3 linked regions of the Saccharomyces cerevisiae S288C genome follow. Changing the gene in region 1 together with any one later gene gives a genetic interaction. Each region holds a gene or a part of one and is shown in the gene's direction. Other genes may lie near its edges.

Region 1 (6,400 bases):
TACTATTTAAGATTAAGATTTCCTCACGAATTAATCGATGATGAGAGGTCTACCGCTCAATACGATTCCAAAGATGAATGCATCAATGTAAAAGTAGCCAAACTGAATAAAAATGAATATTTCGAAGATTTGGACCTACCGACAAAGTTGTTGGCTAGGCAAGGCGATCTTGCAGGTGCCGATGCATTAACAGAAAATACTGATGCGAAAAAAACCCAAAAGCCCCTTATTCAAGAGGTCGAAACTGATGGCGTGTCGAATAATATTAAAGATGATGTGAAGACTATTGGTCAAATGGGAGAGGGGTTTAATTGGGAGATAGAGCAAAAGATGGATTCCAGCACCAATAATGGAATATTGAAGACAAAATATGGGTTTGATAACTTATATGATACAGTTATATCAGTGTCGACAAGCAACGGGAACGATATCAATGAATTAGACGATCCTGAACACACTGACGCGAACGATAGAGTTATTGAAAGGTTAAGAAAAGAAAATTTGAAGTTTGATCCTGAGTACTATGTTTCCGAGTATATGACACATAAATACGGTAACGAGGAAGACTTGGAAATTAACGGCATTAAAGAACTACTGAAGTTTACACCTTCGATCGTAAAGCAATACCTGCAATGGTACAAAGACAGTACGAACCCAAATCTGGTCATGCCAATTGAGTTTACTGACGAGGAACAAAAACAGATGCAGGACAATTTACCCAAGAAGTCTTATCTCGTGGAAGATATAAAACCACTTTATGTCACTATACTCAGCGTTCTTTTCAGTTATGTGTTTGAACAGATCGAAAACGAAGGTACTCATACCACAGAGAGTGCTTGGACCATGGGAAAATTGTGCCCTCAAATATCATTCTTAGACCAACAATTAAAACAGGTGAACGAACTGCAAGACGGTATGAAAGAAATATCAAAGGTTAATAAAGACAGCTCTCTCATCAAGATTGCAATCATTACAGGTATCAGGAGAGCCCTGAGTTATCCACTACATAGAAACTATGACCTAGCAATGAAAGCGTGGACATTCGTATATTATATTCTACGAGGTGGTAAGAGACTAGTCATAAGGGCGCTTTTGGACATTCATGAAACATTTCGTTTCCATGATGTTTACTACGTCTACGACAAAGTTCTCTTGGATGATCTGACTGCGTGGTTCATTTCTCAGGGTAGTGAGAACGTCATAAGAAGTCTGGCCTTGGAAATGAGAAAAGAGCAAGAGTCACTTTCCAAGCAGGATATTGAATTTGAATGTATTGCATCGTTCAACGAACAAACTGGCGAACCTGAGTGGGAGACACTAAATATAAGAGAGATGGAAATTTTGGCAGAGTCTGAATACCGAGAGCAGCAGCAGAACCCACAATGAAGATCATTTGAATGTTTAGCGTAGATTACTGCATTAGATAGAGTATATATTGATTAACGTTCCTGCAGGGGCCTAAAATTGGGTTACCCTTCTCTTCCCGCGGCTTTTCCCCTCATGGCATTACGTATTCCATCGAAGAAGGGAGAAGGCTTTCAAGCCTTGAAGAGTGACAGCGATCCAAGCTGGGGGGGGGAAAAACAACGAGGACATCTGTTGAGCCCTTGAATTGGTACAACCTATTAGAGTGTTCTTATATCTGCATTTGGTCATCTTCTTTTGAAGCTTTTTAAAGAAAAAAAGTAGTTAACAATAAAAGAATACAACATTAAAAGAAAAAAAAATGTCGAAAAACAACACAATGACCTCTGCGGTCTCTGATATGCTGTCACAGCAACAGCTAAATCTTCAGCACCTGCATAACTTGCAGCAGCATACGAGAAGTATGACTTCAGCAGATCATGCCAACGTTTTACAACAACAGCAACAACAACAACAACAACAACAGCAGCAGCAGCAGCAACAGCAGCAGAGCGCAAGCTTTCAAAATGGCAGTTTGACATCCGATATAAACCAACAAAGCTATTTGAATGGACAACCAGTTCCTTCCACTAGTAATTCAACGTTTCAAAACAATAGGACGCTGACGATGAATTCTGGAGGGTTGCAAGGTATCATAAGCAATGGTTCTCCTAATATCGACTCGAACACCAATGTAACCATTGCTGTCCCAGATCCCAATAATAACAACGGGAAACAGCTCCAAGGGAAAAACTCTTTAACCAACACTTCAATACTGTCGAGGGCTAGGTCTTCCTTACAACGTCAAAGACTTGCTCAGCAACAGCAACAACAACAAGATCCTAGATCTCCATTAGTAATACTGGTCCCTACAGCTGCGCAACCAACAGATATTCTTGCAGCGAGGTTTTCAGCTTGGAGAAATGTCATCAAGTCGGTGATCGTTTACTTAACAGAAATCGCTTCTATTCAGGATGAAATTGTTAGACAGCAACTAAGATTATCACATGCTGTACAATTCCCATTCTTTTCGATCGAGAATCAATACCAACCAAGCTCGCAGGAGGATAAATCAGTACAAAAGTTTTTTTTGCCATTGGGTAATGGCTCGATACAGGACTTACCAACAATTTTGAACCAGTATCATGAATCCCTAGCATCCAGCGCGTCTAAGGCATCAAGGGAATTGACCAATGATGTTATTCCTCGTTTGGAAGACTTGAGGAGAGATCTAATAGTCAAGATAAAGGAAATAAAATCACTGCAGTCGGATTTCAAAAATTCTTGTTCCAAAGAGTTACAACAAACAAAACAGGCCATGAAGCAATTTCAGGAGTCTTTAAAGGATGCGCGCTATTCAGTGCCAAAACAAGATCCATTCTTAACCAAGCTGGCGCTTGATAGACAAATTAAAAAGCAACTTCAGGAGGAAAACTTTCTGCATGAAGCTTTTGATAATTTAGAGACTTCAGGCGCTGAATTAGAAAAAATTGTAGTTATGGAAATTCAAAACTCTTTAACAATATATGCCAGATTACTGGGACAAGAAGCACAATTGGTTTTCGATATATTGATATCCAAATTAGATTCTGGATTTTTCAACGTTGACCCACAATTTGAATGGGATAACTTCATTTCAAGGGATCCCAACTTTTTATTGCCTAATCTACCGATGAGGACATTCAAAGAAATCGTTTACAAATACCAATTCGATCCTTTGACTTATGAAATCAAATCAGGGTTTTTAGAAAGAAGATCAAAATTTCTAAAATCCTATTCAAAAGGGTATTATGTGCTGACACCGAACTTTTTACATGAATTCAAGACCGCGGACAGAAAAAAAGATTTAGTACCAGTGATGTCGTTAGCATTAAGTGAATGTACTGTGACGGAACATTCCCGGAAAAACAGTACATCATCACCAAATTCGACTGGTTCGGATGCTAAGTTTGTGTTGCATGCTAAGCAAAACGGCATAATTCGTCGTGGTCACAATTGGGTTTTTAAAGCCGATTCTTATGAATCAATGATGTCTTGGTTTGATAATTTGAAGATCTTAACATCTACTTCGAATATACAAGACAAGTATAAATTCATAACACAAAAATTAAACTTGAATTCAGATGGGAAACCCAAGCTAACCAATAACCATACCAGCATTAATAAGTATCAGCTGAGTAATGCCAATAGCACAATGGTAGAAAATGATGAAAACGATGATATAAATAGTAATTATGTGGGGTCCACGGTAACACCAAAATTGGACAATCAAACAAATACGAATACATCCATGTCTTCATTACCTGATACTAATGATTCTGAATTACAAGATCAAGTTCCCAATATTTATATTCAAACTCCAATAAACGATTTCAAATCATAAATACAAGTATAGTAAACTAGAATGTTTTTATTTCCTTCCATCCATATGTTATATTAATATGTTTCCGTATTTTTGTTTTTGTGTCCCATGCATGGAAGAATACAACCTACAAGCAGACTTATATAAATATACAATACTACCTATCCCTCAACTCCATCACTAATTCTAACAGCGGACCAAAATCAGCCGGTCTTAGTAGTTCGAACTCTTGTGCAAAAAGACAAAAATGTCTAAAACTTGTGTTTAGTACGGTTTGTAAATTTAGTTCAAGAATTTCATTAAAATGATGACAGTAAATATGCGCATAAACTCTGAATAATCGCCTTAGAATTGGTTGAATTACTCGTTGGATGAATCCCTCCGGGAAGGTACCGGTGACTTTGGAAGGAAAAAGAGATTCGTCATCAAATTGGTCTTGACACCACCTCATCAAACATTCCACATACTTAGGGGCACTTACCGAAACGGGGGGCTGACCCTTTTGAAATGCCCAAAGATATTCATATTCGTTCGTCGCTATCATCCTCGGGCATGTTTGTGGGGAGCAAAATTCTGTGATGGACCCGTATAACATATTAATCTGATTGTAAAAATCCACGCAATGAACCGCTAGCCATTCATTCTCATCCTCACCACGCGGTAACTTCACAGCTTGGTTAAGGACTCCCTCAGACCCCAGTGTCATCTCCACAATTTGCTTGATGTCTTGATGTGTTGTAACTGTCGTACCTGCTTGCGGTTGTAGAAACGGCTTCTGATGCGATGGTGTATAGTTAAAGTCCGTTACATTTTGTAATTGTTCAGGCGGAGGGGCGTGCCTCTTTGGCGTAGTGAGGACGGGAGACATCCTTCCATGGTCGCTTTCATTATATCCGTTTACTGGATTGTTTGTAAAATCTGCTCTATTGTTAATAGTATTGGCATTATTATTATTGCCGTTAATAGTATTGTTATGGGGAGTTGCCTTAGTAGGCGATACAGAGCCTGCATTATTAGCTGCATTGGCAGTATTCCACTTGAAACCTCTAGTAGATCTTATTGTTTGGCCGGGACTTATATGACTGCTTTCAAAAGGTAACTCATACCCAGTTTGTTAATAAAAGATGAACAATAATACTTGAAGTAGAAAAGAAAATAGCAACATACAAATTTTGTAGAAAAGACATGGAAATTGAAGTCCTTATTGAATTAGGAAAATTTTGTTGAAGATACTAACAAAAAAACCGGTTTTCTCTCGAATAAACTAAAAAAATATCTATACAGCTCAAACGGGCTGAGCTAAGGCTCTTTTAGATCAGTAATGTTACCAAAGCTATAATTGTAATTCTTCTAACGTTTTGATATTTCCATTTTGGGAAGTAGTATTACCCTTCTTTTGATCGAACGTATTTGTCATATTATACGAGTGGGATACCCGACCGATAATAATAATCACGTTTATATCACGTGATCATCTCTGAATACCAAAATCACAACATACGGAAATTAGGGGACATAAGATTTTTTGAGGAGAGATTTCTTTTCCTATTTATTTTTAATCGCGCCATTACTGACAATAGCAAATTAATTTATAGTGGAGTACATGGACTATTTATTATAGATTTTGTTGGCATATTCTTTTTTTAACAATAAAAGGTATACATATATATATATAGACAAACTCAAGTATTCAGTTACGGGTAAATCAAGTGAAATAAATTTCGCCTTTTAGTATCTATTTGTGTACTTTTGTGCCATAAGCTAAAAGAGTAAAAATAATAACAAGAGGCGTAGAAGAAGGGTTTATTCAAGGGAACAAAGGCAAGAGGAATAAAAGCTCATGTTCAAACCAGTAGACTTCTCTGAAACATCTCCTGTGCCGCCTGATATTGATCTTGCTCCTACACAATCTCCACACCATGTGGCACCTAGTCAAGACTCCAGTTATGATCTTTTATCCCGGAGTTCCGATGATAAAATTGATGCTGAAAAGGGTCCGCATGATGAATTATCTAAGCACTTACCACTTTTTCAGAAAAGACCTTTGAGCGATACTCCTATATCGAGCAATTGGAACTCTCCTGGAATCACTGAAGAAAATACACCTTCTGACTCTCCTGAAAATAGCGCTACTAATTTGAAATCGCTACATCGATTGCATATTAACGACGAAACGCAACTAAAAAATGCTAAAATTCCCACAAACGATACTACTGACTACATGCCTCCTTCAGATGGAGCAAATGAGGTAACTCGGATTGATTTGAAAGACATTAAATCACCTACGAGACACCATAAAAGAAGACCTACCACCATCGATGTTCCTGGTTTAACAAAGTCTAAAACATCTCCAGATGGTCTCATATCAAAGGAAGATAGTGGATCAAAGTTAGTGATTGTCATGGTCGGACTGCCAGCTACGGGAAAGTCATTTATTACAAATAAATTATCCAGATTTTTAAATTATTCTTTATACTATTGTAAAGTGTTTAATGTCGGTAACACTAGAAGGAAGTTTGCTAAGGAGCATGGCCTAAAGGACCAGGATTCAAAGTTTTTCGAGCCGAAAAACGCCGACTCTACTAGGTTGAGAGACAAATGGGCCATGGATACTCTGGATGAATTGCTAGATTA
Region 2 (7,474 bases), on another chromosome or scaffold:
GAAATTTACACTAAACCGTTTGACAAGATTAACTTCTCCAAGAACAGGAATACCGTATGTGGAGTAGACCTATATTACCCCCATTCTACTACTTTGAATATTGCGAACAGCCTTGTAGTATTTTACGAAAAATACCTAAGAAACCGGTTCATTTACTCTCTATCCAAGAAGAAGGTTTATGATCTAATCAAAACGGAGTTACAGAATACTGATTCCTTGTGTATAGCACCTGTTAACCAGGCGTTTTGCGCACTTGTCACTCTTATTGAAGAAGGGGTAGACTCGGAAGCGTTCCAGCGTCTCCAATATAGGTTCAAGGATGCATTGTTCCATGGTCCACAGGGTATGACCATTATGGGAACAAATGGTGTGCAAACCTGGGATTGTGCGTTTGCCATTCAATACTTTTTCGTCGCAGGCCTCGCAGAAAGACCTGAATTCTATAACACAATTGTCTCTGCCTATAAATTCTTGTGTCATGCTCAATTTGACACCGAGTGCGTTCCAGGTAGTTATAGGGATAAGAGAAAGGGGGCTTGGGGCTTCTCAACAAAAACACAGGGCTATACAGTGGCAGATTGCACTGCAGAAGCAATTAAAGCCATCATCATGGTGAAAAACTCTCCCGTCTTTAGTGAAGTACACCATATGATTAGCAGTGAACGTTTATTTGAAGGCATTGATGTGTTATTGAACCTACAAAACATCGGATCTTTTGAATATGGTTCCTTTGCAACCTATGAAAAAATCAAGGCCCCACTAGCAATGGAAACCTTGAATCCTGCTGAAGTTTTTGGTAACATAATGGTAGAATACCCATACGTGGAATGTACTGATTCATCCGTTCTGGGGTTGACATATTTTCACAAGTACTTCGACTATAGGAAAGAGGAAATACGTACACGCATCAGAATCGCCATCGAATTCATAAAAAAATCTCAATTACCAGATGGAAGTTGGTATGGAAGCTGGGGTATTTGTTTTACATATGCCGGTATGTTTGCATTGGAGGCATTACACACCGTGGGGGAGACCTATGAGAATTCCTCAACGGTAAGAAAAGGTTGCGACTTCTTGGTCAGTAAACAGATGAAGGATGGCGGTTGGGGGGAATCAATGAAGTCCAGTGAATTACATAGTTATGTGGATAGTGAAAAATCGCTAGTCGTTCAAACCGCATGGGCGCTAATTGCACTTCTTTTCGCTGAATATCCTAATAAAGAAGTCATCGACCGCGGTATTGACCTTTTAAAAAATAGACAAGAAGAATCCGGGGAATGGAAATTTGAAAGTGTAGAAGGTGTTTTCAACCACTCTTGTGCAATTGAATACCCAAGTTATCGATTCTTATTCCCTATTAAGGCATTAGGTATGTACAGCAGGGCATATGAAACACATACGCTTTAAGTTTTATTTATAAGTGTTGTTAGAGGCTGCAACAATTAGAAACTAGTGCAAAACTAGTATATTTATTTGTATATGTAGTAGTAAAATAATAGGTGAAAAATTAACATGTGTTTGAAATTCCAGCTAACTATTGGTTATGGTGATTACACGCTAAGTGTAGAGTTCTTTCAAATATACCATTTATCCTTTAGCACGGCTTCACTATTTTTTTCGTCTTTTTTCAACTAAGCGGAAGGAGAAAAAAATTTCAAGTTATGCTCATCACTCTTTTATTACATTATGGTAGCTATAAAGTGGCTTATGTTAGTGAGTTGACGGAAAAGAGAAATACTTTCAATAGACCAATACATAACAAATCCTTTTGAACAAGATGCATTTGATGTACACTTTGGGCCCAGACGGCAAGAGAATCTATACATTGAAAAAGGTCACCGAAAGTGGTGAAATCACGAAGTCTGCTCACCCAGCTAGATTTTCTCCAGACGACAAATATTCAAGACAAAGAGTAACTTTGAAGAAGAGATTTGGTTTGGTACCAGGCCAATAGATTTGGGTAGTTTAAGGGAATATTGTATAGTACGTGATTCTGGCTAGTATGAAAATGCAGTGAATTTTCTTGTTTCATTTTCAATTTTCTAGACCTACATAAATTTGATAAGTTTTTAGGTGATAAATACTAATTATAATTGATCGATTATATGTTTTAATCTCGAAGGAGCAGTGGCCGTTTTCTTATCCAGAACCAGTTCTTTTAAGACTCGCCAGTTTCTTTTTAGCTGTAATAAGGAAAAATAGATTGATATTAGTTACAGTTGTGCTTCACGTTGTTAAAACGTACAAGAAAAGTCTTTAACTGTAGCAACCAAAAAAGGTACTTGATGTCGATATTAAGCCGCATCTCTAGATCTAAAGGCTCCACTCTACTGCTCCACTTTACTGCTCCAAAGAGTCGGCTTACAGATAGGCTACCGCTACATTAATAACTGTGCTGGAAAACCTTGTTTCCGGGAGCACAAAATTGTAATGACATATTTATTTTGGTTGTATCAAGCGTTTCCAACTGTTGATTCAACCAAAAAGCCTCATAGCTTTTAATACGGATATTGCTTAGGGTAGGGCGAAAAAAATAACCAAATCTTTGGAAAAAGCAGTTTGACACCATACAACCAGCAACGACATGGTTTTTTAGTGAACCTGTTGGGGGGAGAGTATAACTCGTGAAAGTTTCGACGTCCTATTTGCTGGAGAGTAGTAAAACGAGCTTGAATAGCAGCCTGCGAATCGAATTATGGAAACAATTGATATACAAAATCGATCATTTGTTGTTCGTTGGGTAAAATGTGGCCGTGGCGATGTAATCAATTATCAGATCAAGCCATTGAAGAAATCTATTGAAGTCGGCATATACAAAAAGTTGAAATCCAGTGTAGATGACCATGCTTCCGCAGTTCACATTGCACCTGACACTAAAACATTGCTAGACTATACTACGAAATCTCTATTACATAAGGGAAGTTCGAGTAATATTGAGGAGCATCACAGGCGTTCCTCACAGCACTCTCATAGTTCGAGCAATGGATCGGATAATAAGAGGAAAGAGAGATCATATTCTTCACTGTCCATTAGCGGCATACAGCAGCAATCCCAGGAAATACCCCTACGTGAAAAACTCTCTGCGTCAGGATTCACTTTGGTCAAGAGGGTCGGCAACGTTTCCGGTAACACTATGGTCCAAGGTGATCTTGAAGTGAAAGATACAGACTACTATTATGCATTTATACTGGACAACTCGTCTTCCAAGAATGCAAAAAAGAAAATTCTTTTTAACGCAAGTGTGATAAACGGCGATAATCAATCGATGATAAGCACAAGATCCACCCCTCCCGCAAGGCCTACAGCTTTAAGCAGAACATCTACTCAACAGGATATGTTATTTAGAGTAGGACAAGGTCGTTACTTGCAAGGCTACCTGCTGAAAAAAAGGAGAAAGAGACTACAAGGTTTTAAGAAAAGGTTTTTCACCTTGGACTTTCGATATGGAACCCTATCGTACTATTTAAACGACCATAATCAAACTTGTAGGGGTGAAATTGTCATAAGCTTGTCATCTGTTAGTGCCAATAAGAAGGACAAAATAATCATAATTGATTCTGGTATGGAAGTTTGGGTCTTGAAGGCTACAACTAAGGAAAATTGGCAGTCGTGGGTCGATGCGTTACAAACTTGTTTTGACGATCAGTTCGAAGATAAGGACACGTCCACTTTGGAAGAAAATCCCGACATTCTTGACGATGACAAGGAAGTAATTAATAAAAGCTCACCTCAAGACCACGACCACCTCACGCCCACGGCTACGACCAAAAGTGCACTATCACATAGACAGCATACTCAGAAAGACATGGATGACATATATGTCCCATTGCCCAGCGAATCTTACGCTACTTTCTCCATGAATCTACGTTTGATTCAACAACGACTGGAGCAGTGTAAAAAAGACTCGTTATCTTATAAACCAACTACTTTACATCAAAGATCGGAGGGGCTAAATGGAACACATTCGTCATCTTCCGTCTTTACCAATAATAGAGTGTCTTCATTCAATCATTCTTCTTCTGGTATGACGTCATCTGATTCTTTAGCCTCTGAAGAGGTTCCTTCCAACAAAACATATATTGAGCATGCTTTATATAACCAATTGGCAGATCTTGAAGTATTTGTTAGCCGGTTCGTTACACAGGGAGAGGTTTTATTCAAGGACCACCAGATCCTGTGCAAGAAAGCAAAAGACACGAGAGTTTCTTTAACTTCATATCTTAGCGAGAATGATGAATTTTTTGATGCAGAAGAGGAAATCAGTCGGGGAGTCATTATATTACCTGACACAGAAGATGATATTAATAATATAGTCGAGGAAACTCCCCTTCTTGGTAAAAGTGACCAAAATGAGTTCACAAAAGAGGTCCAATTGTCGGGATCCGAACAGATAGCTTCATCAAGTGTGGAGAGCTATACAACTAACGATGAAAATCATAGCCGTAAACACCTCAAAAATCGTCACAAAAATCGTCGCCGTGGCCACCCTCATCATCAAAAAACCAAAAGCGCCCAATCCTCAACAGAAACATTTACAAGTAAGGATTTGTTTGCTCTTTCCTATCCAAAGAGTGTTACACGCCGTAATGACATACCTGAAGCTGCAGCTTCTCCGCCAAGCCTATTATCTTTTTTGAGAAAGAATGTAGGCAAAGATCTGAGCTCTATTGCCATGCCAGTAACCTCAAATGAGCCTATTTCTATTTTGCAGTTGATATCAGAAACATTTGAGTATGCTCCACTTTTAACGAAGGCTACCCAACGTCCTGATCCTATAACCTTTGTTTCTGCATTTGCTATTTCCTTTCTTTCCATATATAGGGATAAAACAAGAACGCTAAGAAAGCCTTTTAATCCTTTACTGGCTGAAACATTTGAACTTATACGAGAAGATATGGGGTTTAGGCTTATATCGGAAAAGGTCTCACATCGTCCTCCAGTATTTGCCTTCTTTGCAGAGCATCTCGACTGGGAGTGTAGTTACACTGTAACGCCATCGCAAAAGTTTTGGGGTAAGTCTATTGAATTGAATAACGAAGGTATACTGAGATTGAAGTTTAAGACAACTGGAGAACTATTTGAATGGACGCAACCAACAACTATTTTAAAAAATTTGATAGCGGGTGAGAGATATATGGAGCCTGTCAACGAATTCGAAGTACATTCTTCGAAGGGAGACAAATCACACATCCTGTTCGATAAGGCAGGTATGTTTAGTGGAAGATCTGAAGGATTTAAGGTTTCGATAATCCCACCACCTTCGAGCAATCGCAAGAAGGAAACTCTAGCTGGTAAATGGACACAGAGTTTAGCTAATGAAACTACACATGAAACTATATGGGAAGTAGGTGATTTAGTTAGCAATCCGAAGAAGAAATATGGCTTTACTAAATTCACCGCAAATTTGAATGAGATAACTGAAATTGAAAAGGGCAATTTACCACCTACGGACTCAAGATTAAGACCAGATATTAGAGCTTACGAGGAGGGAAATGTTGATAAGGCGGAAGAGTGGAAGCTGAAATTGGAACAACTTCAACGTGAAAGACGTAATAAAGGGCAAGATGTGGAGCCTAAATATTTCGAAAAAGTATCTAAGAATGAATGGAAATACATAACTGGACCGAAGAGTTATTGGGAAAGAAGAAAGAAGCATGATTGGTCTGATATTTCTCAACTCTGGTGAATGCCTTGATGACATCAAGTGAACTTTTTTCCCCCCTTTGTACTCTATTTATTTTCCATCTTTAATGATCATCCACACAAATTACTTGTATATGCGTTCATGTATAGTATACTATATACAACATGAAGGACTTTATAAATTCTTGATCAATCTTTCACACTAATTTTATATTAACAGTTCTACACTATTTTTGTTTGCTTGACTGTAAAAACATTCTATTTTATGATTAGTTGCAAAACTTGAAAAAAACAATAGAATTTCATCACATAATTGAAAGATAATGAACTCTTTCAGTCAGTTAGATCCATGTTTTTTGAAGAAAAGTTTACGAACACAGGATCTTACAAAAGGTGCCTAAATTTGGAATTGAAAGTCTATTGCTATCAAAACTTGTCAAAGATAACATAGCTTGGAACATCTTATCCTTTATATGTCCTGCTAAGTCATATCAAGAGGCCCCAATAGTTTCGTCGAAAAAGATAAAGAGGAATATGGAAGGGAAATATAAGATTATCAACTGGTTACCTCAAAATAGACTATATGCTCACATCATCAATTGATATTGCTTGTAAAAATACCCCCAAATACCCTGGCATTCTTTTTTTGACTCCCTGCCAGTAATGTCACATCTTATCACTTTAGCTACATGCAACTTGAATCAATGGGCCCTAGATTTTGAAGGTAATAGAGACCGTATCCTACAGTCCATTAAGATTGCCAAAGAGAGGGGTGCCAGGTTACGTGTCGGCCCAGAACTGGAAATAACTGGCTACGGATGTTTAGATCATTTTTTAGAAAATGACGTTTGCCTTCATTCATGGGAAATGTATGCTCAAATCATTAAGAATAAAGAAACCCATGGATTAATACTTGACATTGGTATGCCCGTTCTACACAAGAATGTTCGTTATAATTGTCGTTTGTTATCCTTGGATGGTGAGATATTGTTCATAAGACCTAAGATTTGGTTAGCTAATGATGGTAACTATAGGGAAATGAGATTTTTCACACCTTGGATGAAACCTGGCGTGGTGGAGGACTTTATCCTTCCACCTGAGATTCAGAAAGTTACCGGCCAGAGACTTGTGCCATTTGGGGACGCTGTGATAAATTCATTGGATACATGCATTGGTACAGAAACTTGTGAAGAATTGTTTACACCTCAATCCCCCCACATCGCCATGTCTTTAGATGGTGTGGAAATCATGACAAACTCATCTGGTTCTCATCATGAACTGCGTAAGTTAAATAAAAGGTTAGACCTAATTTTAAATGCCACTAAACGTTGTGGTGGTGTTTACTTGTATGCAAATCAAAGAGGTTGTGATGGTGACAGATTATATTATGATGGCTGTGCACTAATTGCCATCAATGGTACAATTGTAGCCCAAGGTTCACAATTTTCGCTAGATGATGTGGAAGTAGTTACTGCTACTGTGGACCTAGAAGAGGTGAGGAGTTATCGTGCAGCTGTCATGTCTCGTGGCCTACAAGCCTCCTTGGCAGAAATAAAGTTCAAGCGTATTGATATTCCTGTAGAATTGGCTTTAATGACCTCCAGATTTGATCCTACAGTGTGTCCAACAAAAGTCCGCGAGCCTTTCTATCACTCTCCTGAGGAAGAAATTGCACTGGGACCTGCTTGCTGGATGTGGGATTATTTAAGACGTTGTAACGGAACAGGGTTTTTCCTTCCCTTATCTGGGGGCATTGACTCTTGTGCAACTGCAATGATTGTCCACTCTATGTGCCGTTTAGTGACCGACGCTGCTCAAAATGGAAATGAGC
Region 3 (5,132 bases), on another chromosome or scaffold:
TGGTTACTACGAGGGCGACTAGCGGAGGCCTGTAGTAGAAAAGTCTTTGCGGTCATGATTCTTTTTTTGTTTTTTTTTTGTACTAGAAAATGTAGGTAAAACAAATCAGCAACCCATTAAAATGCTCTTTGATGTACTAGGAGACCAATAAATATGTGTGGAAAAAAAATAAAACTGTGTTTTTTCTCTTCCTATGCGTTTGATAATGATCTGCTCAAATAAATAATGACCCTTTTTTATTTTTCTGGTTCCTTTATAGTAGTATTTTTATATTATTAAGTGTAAAGTGGACCTGTAGATAGCATATACGATATAAAACTGGGGTTTAGAGAGGTGAAGGAATTAATAAAGGTAAAAAAATTAAAAGGAAAAAGGAGATGGACCTAAACAACCACACGGGGTTAAGCAAGAAGAAATTGATATAGGAGATTAGTTAATAGCTTTACAATATATATAATTTATCTAAAAACGATCTCATACTCAATAAATTTTTTTAGAGTAGTCTCGGAAAGAAAATAGCAATCCATTTACTTTTAGAACAATCTGCAAAATCGATACATGACACTTGGAAGCAACTGTGAAAAGGCTACGGCCATTGCTTACCGCGTGCAAGATCCGTAACATAAGAAAACTTTAGTCCTTGATGAAAGAAAATTTTCGTTTTTTTTTTCAGGTTCAGCGGGCTTAACCTCGTTTGCCGCCTCGGCCCCGCTCCGTTGTGCTGGCCATCTGTGCGCGGCGGGCTTCCCCCCCGTCGCTACTTCCGGATTAAACTTTTAGACTTCGGACCCCTGCCCCGGGGGGTTTCTCTGAACGCCGGGGTAGTGGTCCAAAGCCCACGAAACGCGTGTTCCTCTCAGCGGCATTGGAGTGAATAAAGCCCGCAGGACAGCCTTTTTTTTCCGGGCTGCACGACCGAATCAACTTGTCGCTCTATTCCTCCGTTGTTCCCGATTTGTAGCTCGGGGCCGACTCGCTTTTTGGCCAAGAAAATTGAGGAAAGCCCGTATTGCGGAGAAGGTTCTTATGTATTTGCCGTGCGATCAACCTCCGGGGCCCGGGTTTCAAATTCCGGCAATCATCCATGCCTAGTTTTGGAAATTCTCAGCAGAGGTTATCCCGTAAGGTGAAAAAAAGACATAAACGGTTTTTGCCTACAGTTTCCGGCAAAATAGTGATCTCATAGTACATCACTACTGCGAAGTCACCGGCCCGTACAGAAAAAGTATATCTTTAAATAGCGGCCCTACCTCTGCTTCTACCTACTTCATATTCGAATTCTTTTCTCGCCTTCCGCAGTGTTTCGCAAATCTGGACCTACGCACTAAATCATTTATGATTGTTCTCTCTTTCACGTGATAAGGTTTGCATTCTATTCGTTACCCTATTAATTATTACTATTTTTTTCAGCATGAGTTTTATTTCGCACATAAAATGCATCTATTTCTGGATATTACTGTAGTTTTCTTTGCTTTTCGCCTACCGCGCGGCGAAAAGTCGTATCAATCAATATGTGCCACTGCTATCATCCCTTGATAGAGTACAACGTAAAAGAGGCATTGTAGCATATTCACCCCGCTTGATAACTAGATTTTTTAGGCAAGAGTTGCGCACAGCGTACTGTGCACTACGGTATACAGAATTACACAATTGATACTTATTCTCTCCTTCATTGTTGCTCTGTTTCCGTTGTTTAAACTTTATCCAAAAACTCTGTTTTCTGTTTATTGAACCCCTTGCTTTCGCAAGCAAGCCCGACATATACGAACAGAACTGGGGAGAGGGAGTCTTATGCTGTACAACTCATGTAACCCCCACTATCTCAGGAGTTATATTAAATCAAGGCACGCCAGTGCTGCCTCTCTTGGTACGACAAACAAGTTTTTCCCGATTCTAGGTATTGCATTACATAATATCAACCCTTTGTTGTTTTCTTTTGATTTTTGAAAAGAAATATCTCATACCAACCGGAAAGGAAAAAGGACACAATTTGGGAAAATAGGCAATTTATTATGTACACAAGTCATAACCAAGAAAAAAGTAAGGGTAAAACAAGCAATTACTGAACTTGTTTCATGAGACTCATATCCAGAAGCATATTTATATAAGGAAATATTAGTTGCAAATCATTATGTCATTCCTTTCGCACACCCGATATGCTAAAAACAGCATACATGCACACTGCGCTTGGCTTGGACATATTCTCTCTGCATATGATGGAAAAAAAATCTTTTTTTTTCTTTTTCTTTGACTTTTTGCCGTTTTGTCATCGTCATCGCGATGGAAAAAGAAATGAAGAATACTTGATGAACAGGTGAAACTTGAACAATAACGTATCAGAATGAGGGTAAAGGGACCTTGTAAAACTTTTGAAAAAACTAAACAGGCAATTTAGTAAGAAGATGCCACTGGTGCTTTTTACGGGATACCCATGTAGTGGTAAGACAACGCTTGCTAAACATTTGGTACAACTACTACAGTCCAAGATCGATGCAACCCCATCATTAAGTAAATATTCCATAACCTATCATTCAGATGAATCTTTAGGCATAAAACATTCAGATTATATAACTTCCCAAGATGAAAGAAAATTGAGGTCGGAGATCATCTCCGCAGTGAAAAGAGATCTATCTAAAAACAAGATAGTCATTGTAGACTCGTTGAATTATATCAAGGGTTTCCGGTATCAACTTCACTGCGAGGTGAAAAATTTGTCCACCACATTTTGTGTAATTCAAACACTGTGTCCACCAGAGACTATATTCGAGTGGAATAAGACTTCAAACCCGAACCCTTGGGAACCCGAGTTATTGAATCAATTGATTCAACGATACGAAGAGCCTAACTCAAGCAACCGATGGGACTCTCCACTCTTTGCTATTCTTACTCCTCAGGACAACATAACTGACTACATCGACGATATTTGTAAAGTAGTCTTTCAAACTTCCAAATCGGCTAAAAACAGTGGACACAATGATCCGTTGAGTAAGGGCTTACAAAAACCGAACTCAGCCACGGTACTAAAGCCTGCGTCTCAGTCCAATTTCATCCAGGTTCTCGACATCGAAACTAGTAAGATAATAAAAACCATAATGAACCACATCAAAAGCCTGACTTCTATTGGCGGGGTAAGTAACGGAACAAGAGTCATTGTTTCCGAAGGGATTACCGATATCAATGATGATGGTTGCTTCTTCGTAGACTTGCCCATTGGTAACGTCGTTACGTTGGCGCAATTGCAGAGATTGAAAAGGCAATTCATTAACTTCAACAAACTAAGAGATATAGATCAAGATAGGATCGGTCCGCTTTTCGCTGATTATCTTAACAAAAACTTGAATTGAGATATACATGTGATTAATATCAGAAGGTAAATGGCAAGACGAAATTTGCTTGTTTATAATACAAAAAAACATACATAAGATATAATATATATTTCAATAGAAAAGAAAAAGTATAGAAAAGTGAATAAACAAAAGAAACATGAGAAAAATAGCTCGTCTTCTCAACTGGGTATCTATTGACCTCTTAATTCTGGTTGAATGTTTTCATCAGAAAGGTCTTCTTCATCATCGGCTTTCCCTATTAGTCCAGCAACATCTTCTTCATCGTGATGAGGTTGGCTATGATGGTTATTATGATGAGTTGTGTTCTTATTATACTGCGATTCTACATCCACGTCCACCATTACATCGTCTACGTCATCATCATTATTCTGGTGTAGATTCTCTACCTCTTTCAAATGCGATGACAGTAACCTTAACTGTTCCGCCACTTCATGTGGTAGTTTGTCGTCTTCATTTCTCTCTTCCAGTGTGATATCTGACAAATGCTGTCTTTTGGACTTGTGAGCATCTTCTGAATCCATATCGTTGATCAAGTTTTCATCTACCACGTTTCTCGACGAATTGTTATGGCCATCACCATTCTTGTCATCAATGGACCTCTTATAAGAATTGATCTTGTCTATGGCTAACTGAGCAGTTTCACGAGCTTCTTGAGCGTCTACTTCAGCCAAGGTTGGGTGGACATTTTCATTACCGCCATCGTTTGATTCATCTAGGCCAACCATGGACACGTCTGAATGAGTTATTTGATCTGGCTTGCTCCATTTATTGACGCTTGGCATCTTCTTGGGTTGATACCGGTGACTAGAGGTTTTATCTAGCACACTTTCCATTAAATTTGAGGCGTCATTATTATTGTTGCCGTTATTATCGTCATTACTGTCATTCTTGTTATTATTCACATTTTTGGTTGTGTTCGATGAGGTACCCGCACTTGATATTTCCTGATGTTTGGCGTAGTCGATAGAGTTACTTCTCAAGTTCGTGCCAGAAAGCTCACCATCGTTGTTATTGTTGTTATTGGAAGATGAAGAAGGTTGTAAATCATTATACTCGCCCATTTTTTTCTTTTTCAAAACAAATCTTGCTTTATACGTCGTTATACGTCTGGCTATTTGGGAAAGTAACCTTTTTTCGAAATCTTCGGCGGTTAATCCATATCTTTGCATTAAAATGTCTAAAAGACCGGACTCCTCCACGTAATGAGAAACTTTAAATTTACTCACTGTATGGTTAGAATTATTGTAAGAGCTTTCTAGTATTTGATCAAACTTTAAATCGTTTTGTAAAATCTTTGGAATCTTAGTTAGGATAAATTTACCCAGTGACAAGTTATCTTCTAGTGGGTGACTATGATAGGGCTCAATTTTGGTAACGACAAATGGGCCCGGTATATCATCGGTAGCAGAATTGAAGACGTCTAAATTCATAGACGTGTCTCGTATGGAGGATGGTGAGTGGGAGGAAATGCCGTGGCTACCGACATTGTTGTTATTGATATTGCTGTTATTGTTGTGATCGTTATTAGTATTATTATCTTGGCCATCATTGTTGTTAGTGGCATCATCGTCTTTTCCATCGTGCTTATTGTTTGATTGAGAATCTACATTTGCGACGGCATTGGCAATGGCAACGTTGATGTCTTCATCGTTCACTACGTCAGAATAGTTTTTCGTCATTTGGGTATGGACGTCATCCTCCTCGTTGTGACGGTGGTTACCGCTGTCATTACCATGAGTAGGACCGCTCTCGTCGTCCAATCCCCGGTCAATAGAGGCCTTATTT

The links. A genetic interaction does not mean that the proteins touch.
Region 2: mutations in SLM1 (region 1) and OSH3 together harm fitness less than expected from each alone (positive genetic interaction), as found in Saccharomyces cerevisiae (2 studies listed by BioGRID).
Region 3: mutations in SLM1 (region 1) and KTI12 together harm fitness more than expected from each alone (negative genetic interaction), as found in Saccharomyces cerevisiae (2 studies listed by BioGRID).

The regions. Positions count from the first base shown.
Region 1 is NC_001141.2:164,968-171,367, reverse strand, and holds SLM1 (phosphatidylinositol 4,5-bisphosphate-binding protein), read left to right. Parts: upstream 1-1,726; coding exon 1,727-3,787; downstream 3,788-6,400. Other genes in the region: Hsp90 cochaperone SHQ1, read left to right, coding at 1-1,386; YIL105W-A (uncharacterized protein), read right to left, coding at 3,564-3,704; MOB1 (Mob1p), read right to left, coding at 3,924-4,848, 4,934-4,953; PFK26 (6-phosphofructo-2-kinase), read left to right, coding at 5,607-6,400. UniProt on the Saccharomyces cerevisiae protein: Together with SLM2, acts as an effector of the TORC2- and calcineurin-signaling pathways. Phosphorylated and activated by TORC2 under favorable growth conditions. Mediates actin polarization via inhibition of calcineurin-dependent transcription.
Region 2 is NC_001140.6:239,887-247,360, forward strand, and holds OSH3 (oxysterol-binding protein related protein OSH3), read left to right. Parts: upstream 1-2,695; coding exon 2,696-5,686; downstream 5,687-7,474. Other genes in the region: lanosterol synthase ERG7, read left to right, coding at 1-1,407; snoRNP complex protein NOP10, read left to right, coding at 1,778-1,954; QNS1 (glutamine-dependent NAD(+) synthetase), read left to right, coding at 6,307-7,474. UniProt on the Saccharomyces cerevisiae protein: Lipid transport protein (LTP) involved in non-vesicular transfer of lipids between membranes.
Region 3 is NC_001143.9:227,151-232,282, reverse strand, and holds KTI12 (Kti12p), read left to right. Parts: upstream 1-2,402; coding exon 2,403-3,344; downstream 3,345-5,132. Other genes in the region: transcription factor HAP4, read right to left, coding at 1-56; DNA-binding protein ABF1, read right to left, coding at 3,518-5,132. UniProt on the Saccharomyces cerevisiae protein: Elongator complex-associated factor that is not a structural subunit but rather transiently contacts the complex.